2 linked regions of the Daphnia pulex genome follow. The main gene of each other region encodes a partner of the protein of the gene in region 2 in a complex. Links are inferred from orthologs where the notes say so. Each region holds a gene or a part of one and is shown on either strand. Other genes may lie near its edges.

Evidence for each region. Proteins that work in one complex are often made in the same cells at the same time.
Region 1: exosome component 10-like (region 2) and exosome complex component RRP40-like share a complex: the UniProt entries of both Drosophila melanogaster proteins name them as parts of the RNA exosome complex. The link is inferred for Daphnia pulex from reciprocal best matches to the Drosophila melanogaster genes Rrp6 and Rrp40.

What each region holds. Positions count from the first base shown.
Region 1 is NC_060019.1:5,895,629-5,899,380, forward strand, and holds the start of exosome complex component RRP40-like, read right to left. Parts: upstream 2,511-3,752; 5' UTR 2,425-2,510; intron 2,424-2,424; exon of another isoform or gene 2,362-2,423; 5' UTR 2,281-2,361; exon of another isoform or gene 2,043-2,280; intron 1,969-2,042; exon of another isoform or gene 1,882-1,968; intron 1-1,881. UniProt on the Drosophila melanogaster protein: Non-catalytic component of the RNA exosome complex which has 3'->5' exoribonuclease activity and participates in a multitude of cellular RNA processing and degradation events.
Region 2 is NC_060022.1:1,682,659-1,686,410, reverse strand, and holds the start of exosome component 10-like, read left to right. Parts: upstream 1-1,223; 5' UTR 1,224-1,406; coding exon 1,407-1,457; intron 1,458-1,528; coding exon 1,529-1,665; intron 1,666-1,728; coding exon 1,729-1,840; intron 1,841-1,900; coding exon 1,901-2,011; intron 2,012-2,079; coding exon 2,080-2,448; intron 2,449-2,517; coding exon 2,518-2,661; intron 2,662-2,720; coding exon 2,721-3,752. Other genes in the region: transmembrane protein 98-like, read right to left, coding at 2-193, 307-568, 638-807. UniProt on the Drosophila melanogaster protein: Catalytic component of the RNA exosome complex which has 3'->5' exoribonuclease activity and participates in a multitude of cellular RNA processing and degradation events.

The DNA.
Region 1 (3,752 bases), on a different chromosome or scaffold from region 2:
TTCCAGCTCAACGGAGAAGACGGCTTCCCAACGATATCGTACAGCTTCAATCTAATATGTTCAAAACATTAGTAGGATAAATAAAGGATTAATAATAAGACGGGACAAAACAAAGGAGGGAATCAAAATTTAATCACCAGTTGATCAACCGCCTCTCTAGTAGCCAAAGAAACTGTCCATTCGAGAAAATAATACCGGATCTGTTCCGGTTTGCTTACGATTACTTCGAAGTTTTCCTGAATAAAGAAAACAACCAAATGTAATGCAGGTGAAATAGACAAGATATTGGCCGTCATTTTACCAAAGAGACGAGATTGACAAGTTGCTGAAGGCTGAGAAGCGACCCTCTCCCCCTCCCACCCCACGTTCAAAACTGAACTTGATGGCTCGTCAGCCAACGAGGATCACCACATACTAAAACCATACGATAACTTGTGACCATCAAGGCTGTGTTGCTATAACTGGCCGTTTGCTGGTGATTTTTCTGTTGCTTACTATTGCCCCATTCGACCCGTCAGTTTACACAAAAGAGGAAGACGCGAGAATTGCTATCCGGCATGAATCGGGTACTCGTCCTCGTAGATCCTACACTACACCGTCCGTTTCACCTTCATCCGCAGATCCCGTCAAAACAGTGTCCTGATCTCCTCTGACGGAGTCCAATCAAAGCCAGCCATTGATCCGCCATGAGTACCGTCCTTAACGGCGGAACAGTAAATCCGGATTTCTCAAGAATATCTAAACCGCAGAATATTAGCTAAATAAAAGAACAACACAATAAAAATGATTTACCAGTGAGAAAGTGAGTCACGCGTTCTTGGTTCGTCTTTGATCACGAAGCAAAATGAGGTGAGACCAACTCGTTCCGAACTTCAGAACAACACCTCGGTTACCGATGACGATTAACATGTTAACTAGTTGATTAAGCGGGTAACTTGTTTCCAAACTGAGCCACTTTTCTGGCTGCTCACTGTTAATAGAAGCGAGTCGCATGATTTTATCCACAACCACCTCGACTTCCTTCTTCCGAAGTGTCGGAAGCCTCCTTACCGCTGATGGTGGGTGAAGACGGTTCATTGGATGCTACGATGACGTCACTGCCCGGAAGATTACTCGAGGATGGAGTTGATTCAGACCCAGACACGTCATTATTAGGAACTACAACTGGGCTTTGCTGCTGCTGCTGTTTACGACCTATTAACAAGGCATCAAATAAAACTGTTTGATCTAACACAAGAGAACTGCGTTACCTTTCAAAAGAGGAGAATAAACTGTAGAACATCGCAGCTGGATAGCCGCTCCAATCAAAGGGAATTTTCGGTCGCATTTCATGCAGCTCATATCGTCTCTCAATAATCGATCCTCTCTCTCCGGATTGGCAACTTTTGACGATGACCCAGAGCAGCTAGCGAAAATCTTTTCCAGCTCCTAGAACAAAGGAAAATTAGTAACAAGATTTGACATTTCAACACGTAAATGATAATAAGACATTAAAATCGTCTTGTTCCTTGCGTCGCTACTATTGCGAATTGATTATAGCACAGTTAAAAATCTTGAGAAAGATATGAAGAAAAATATTGTGAGGTTACACACCACTGGTATCACACTGAATGTTTTTTCTTTCGTGTGAATGGTCAAATGTTTTCAGACAGTTTAAGTATTTGTGCGGACATTACGGACGGGCCAGTTTTTCATCAGTGATCTCGTATGTTGACGTAAGTTGGATCGGTCGTAAAAACGTCACATTTAAAGGGCTTCACTCCCTGATGTTGCCAGGATGACGTGAAGTCGCAAATAATCACTGCCTAAAAATGTTTTCACACATGTATCACAATTCACAGGTGCTAGCTTGGTCCCATAGTACATATTCATATGTCATACCAAAACATTCTTGTGATGAAAAGACTTTCAAGCATCTTTACATCCATATTTTCTTTGGTGTGTTGTGTCACTAAGCTCAGGATATTCCTGTAAAGAAAATATAATTATTAATGCTAAACCGTTTAGCATTAATAATTGTGACATTTTATCAAAATTATAACCTTATTGAATGCTTCCAAGTTAAAATCATCATCTCCATTCTCATCTCCGTTGGAGCTCCCTTCAGGGTTATCTTCTGCTGCTTCCTCACTCTCCCTTTTTATGTCATCAAAATTTTCTCTCACCTCAAAGATTGCAGGAGGCTCATTATCATTTTTTACAGCTTGTTTTATCATCTACAATGAAATTGGGATCACTTTTTCTTGCCTGTTTAAAATACACATCAAAATTAAGTCACACCATATCCGAGTCCATCTGCAGTGTCACTTCTTTAAGCACCTGTCTTGCGATATGGACCAGGCTTCCAATCTTTGTTCCAATCTATAAGGTTTTGAATGCAATTTGAGATTTAGTATATCAATACATAATTATATATTCTTCTACCCTAAAAAGAGGAAAGGCTGCTCAAAAAAAAGGAAAAAAAAAGTGTCTTTGATCTTGGCCTTGCTTTTGTTTACAGCTGTCGTCTGCTAAAGCGGCGGTTAAGCACTTGAAGATGACAGTCGTAACGATGGCAACCAAACGCGATGATTACACCAGATAACACGTAGATCATGTTTTGATTGTTTTTTAATTAAAGAACTCGAGGAAGGGAGTTCGCCTTGCACCTTCGTAGAGACCTGACGTGCATTCTCTTCTCTCTCTCAAAGTGCCAGCAGACTCACGTACTCACCGTATATACGCCCCCCGCTTTATTCCGACAGACAAACACGCGCGACCCCCCCCCCCCCCCCCACAGGCCCCCGTGTCAAAGCAATTTCCGCGCCAGGTGCCACCAACAAAATGGCCGACCGTGATGCCCCACCGCGTTCGAAAAGACCGTGCAACTCAACAGACCACCCCCTCCCTGTGATAATCAAACTCATGGATGACCGTCCAAACTTCAAATCAATGTCCTTAGCAGAACGTGAGGCCATGCGAAAAGCCATTTGCACAGCCATTGGGGACCCCCGGGACTCCACGGTACTCCCAGGCGGCGACCTATCCGTCAGCCCTACTGACTTGCAACAACAACAAGTACTACTCAACATCAAGACCCTGGCAGGCAGACCAACATCTAGCACTCTGCCCACCCGGTCAACAGCGAGGAAGGTAGGAGTAATTTTTGGTATCCCGATAAGTGACGCGGAGGAGGAGATTCTGGAAGCTCTAGCAGACCAGCACGTGACACATGTCAAACGGCTCCCGATCCGCAACTCACCAGGCTCCCCCTCGACAACAGTATCACTTACCTTCTTGAAAGAGGTCCCAGACAGGATCAAGATAGCGTCAATCAGCTACCCAGTAAAGGTATCGGTACCAAACCCATACAGATGCAGGAACTGTTGGAGACTCGGCCACACCGCCAACAGGTGCAACGCTAATGGCCCTAACTGCAAAAGATGTGGCAAACAACAACACGAGACACACCAAGAATGCTCAAGAAGGTGTATTAACTGCAACAACGGAGATCATGAAGCAGACAGCGATCAATGCCCTGCATACCAACAAATGAAGAGCATTATTAAAATGGCCTACCTGGAGGAAATCACCATACAAGAAGCTCGATCCCGCCACGCAAATCTGTACAGCTCAGTAACCAATCGAACCCCCACCCCAACCAACCGCCCCGCACCGCCGCCAACCCCAAGGAATGACCTGACAACCCTACAGGACCAAATAAAGGCCATCCAACAAGAGATGTATACCATGACTGCAGCCACCATTCCACA
Region 2 (3,752 bases):
CCTGGTAATGCATATTCATCTCTTCGAAAATAGCTGATGGCCACGACACATTGCATGTTCGCTCGGTGAGTTTGCTCAAGCGGTTGACAGCATTCAAGAGGGCAAAGGCTCGGATTTCGACATCGCGTGGTTGAATGGGTGGGCACATGGAACGCAAGACGTCGTCAACTAATGGAAGGACAGATTTTGCAACCTAAAACACAACAGAACTTTCAGACACATAGTAATCTTTGGAGTGTCACAACTGAATTCCAACATAACAGAAATGCATGCAATTATTTTTCTTTTAGATAATGAGAGTTGTACCATTGCCAATTCAACAAATCTCTGTTGATCTGTAGAAGCCATAGCTGTAGTCACAAGCCTTTCACTCATCAAGTGACAGCCTTTTAAAATCTGAAGGCAATGAGGAACAATTCCAAGGGCATCGTCCACCCATTTCCATCTGTGAGATTCTAGAACTTTGTCCAAGTCAGGGTGAATCACTAAATCTTCAGGATCAATATTGTCCATGATGTAGTCTTCATCTTCCATCTCTAGGCTACTGATTAGATGAATATCAGACCTACTGGGAAATTCAAAAGCAAAATTACTCCCAACTGCGAAAGAAGTCTTTGTTCGTTTTTGAGATAGTTACCTCACATGGAATCCATTCTGCTGCACTTGTGGGCTTTGTTCCTTCTTCTTAAATTTAGAACCAAGATTAAAGCAACATAGTTTATATCTGCATATAAACAATAGCGCAAGGAGAGCAGCAATGAATACGGAAGTCAAAATCCCTCCAGTCACAACGACAACAGCGTGCATTGTTATGTGCTGAAAAAGAAAGCAATATAAGAAAATCTTTCGATCGTTTCAAGCGTCTGTCATATATTAGTTACCTTCGCAAAAACGACAAGTTTGGATGACACAGTGAACCTTTATAAGTACTCAATAACGAAAGTCCAAGTTAATAAACAACTAGTGCAAACATTTTTACGGCGGGATTAAAATTGTTATTATTTTATGGAAAAGAATGATGGTCAAGGCACTTGTTGATTTGTTATTTTCGGGGAACTTTTATAACGCCCTTGGCAGAATTTTAAAGCGCAATAGCATTTTCAAATGAATAAAAAATATTTAGTCGTGGGTTGAAAAATATTCTAAATTTACTAAATATTTTACTTGTTCATAGATATTCAATTAATTAAGTAATATAGATCCTTTTTAAGTTTAATAATAAATAAATCAACTGTTTAACTAACGGTGTATTACATGCATAATGTAGCAGACGACAAGTGGATTCTGAAAGCATGATTCTTTGGTCAACGGCGAGACTGAAACAAGGCGATTCACGTGCTTAATGTTTTCTGTGAATAATCGCAATAAGATTTTGTTGCAATTGATGATCAGAGAATATTTTTAAAATGAGTGAAAAAGAAAGTGAGAAGAATGGAAATGCCCAAGAGGTTCAACAGGTAGAGCATTGGCTGGCCAAACATTTTGAAATTTCATATCAGTCACAACTTGATTTTCTCTGTTTATTTAGAAATTATTTCAAAGTGCAATGAAGGTCACAAAGTACTCTAATGAATTACCAAGTAGTGGTTCAGACTGGGATTACTACCAAAGTTATCCAGCATATGCCAGCGCAATGAAAGAATTTGGTGGTCGCATTACTAACTTGTGAGTTACAGCTACCGTTAAGTATAAGAATTTTGTTTGATCCTAAAATTTTTATTTGTCAAGGATGACCACAATTTACGGACACTATGGACTAACAGGAAAGGTGGGAAAATTGGATTTGGAAGAGCAGATGGAGCTGGTGTCGGACAACAATGACATCTTGATGGAGCGAATAGTATGCTACTAGGAATTATTAGAATTTTACACCTGTTAAAAAAAACTGCTTTCGTTTCAGAATCTTTCTCTAGATGAAGCTGCTGGATTAAAAAAACAAGCAGAAACTGTAGTTGTTGAGATGATGGCAAAAACTACAAATATTAATGGCAGTTGGAATCGGCATTCTGTGGTATCTAGTTTTTCATACCAATTGTTGTCTTAGATGCTGAATCTATAAAGTATTCATCTTGTTTACAGAGTTCACCAGCAACCTCTTACAAACTTCTTTCTGCTAAAAACATTCTGAGACCACAGTTGAAATTCAAAGAGAAAATCAAGAATTCACCTGGACCGTTTATCCCCAAAATCAAAGATAAGCCTCATTCGTTGAAACCACTGGCGATACTATTAGAATTGAATGACTTGGGCGATGAAGAGTTTAGCCATCCGTACGAATTTGAATTGGAACGTTTTACACCGGATCCAAAGTTCTTCACCGTACTTGATGAAGTGCCTCCATTCCCAAGTGTTCAAGAAATCCCTTTGGTAATGATAGATACTGAAGAAGGTTTAAAAAGTCTTTTGAAAGTTTTGCTTGAGGAAACTGTGATTGCTGTAGATCTGGAGGTATTATTCACTGTCTAGCAGTTTTTAAATTGGTGAACCTTATTAAGTTCCTTAATTATTTATTGCCAGGCCCATTCATATAGATCCTTTCAAGGCCTAACATGCTTAATGCAAATTTCAACAAGCAGTTCTGACTACATTATAGACACTTTAGAGCTATGGGATCAACTACAGCCTTTAAATGAAGTTTTCTGCAACCCAAAGATTGTTAAGGTATGAGCTAACTGTTTAATTGAAGAAGTAACAAACTTATTTTGTTGGTTTTCGTTTAGATTTTTCATGGAGCTGATATGGATATTCAGTGGCTTCAGCGCGATTTCGGTATCTACGTCGTTAATCTTTTTGACACTTATCACGCTGCCAAATTATTGGGTTTTGCACAGCTGTCCTTGTCCTTCCTCCTTCGTCATTATTGCCAAGTTATTGCTGACAAACAATACCAGCTAGCCGATTGGCGAATTCGTCCCTTGCCTGAGCAAATGGTCAATTATGCTCGAGAAGATACCCACTACCTAGGATACATTTACGAAAAGATGAAAAAGGATTTGAAGATGAAGGGAACAGGAGATAATTTGCTGACAGCAGTTTGGCAAAACAGCCGACTGGTTTGTCTCAAACGTTACAGAATTCCCCCTATCACTGCCGAAAGTCACTTGGAATTGTATAGGCTCAGCAAGAAGATTTTCAACGAACGTCAGCTGTTTGCATTAAAAGAACTGTTTGCTTGGCGCGATCGAATAGCTCGAGAAGAAGACGAGAGCACTGGTTTTGTTCTACCCAAACACATGTTGTTACAAATCGCCGATGTTCTACCTAAGGAGATGCAAGGTATCCTTGCCTGTTGTTCACCTATCCCTTCGCTCGTTCGTCAGCATTTACTTCATCTCCATGGAATCATATTAAAAGCCAGAGAAATGCCTCTCGCCACTCTACAACATCACGGCCAGCCATTAGCCATCCCGAAAATGATGCCGACTCCATTGGATCAAGACACCGAAGACCCCCTTTATTGTATGCACGACTTGACACATTCTCAGGACATCCGAGACGACCTACCCACTCTGCTGAATCCGCAAACGATCGAATCAATGGCGTCAAGATCCGAGGAGTTTGGAGTCCGCGTCACTGTAAAAGAGTTCCCACAAGCTCTAATCTTCGCCGAATCGGCTCATTCTGGCATCGTGACAAATGTATCAACTAATTTTGTTTCTCCATACACGAGATATATTCGTGTCAGAGCTCTAAAGTCGGCCGAAGAAGCCGCAGAAGCACAACGTGTCGAAAAGTTGCGCCAACATTTCATG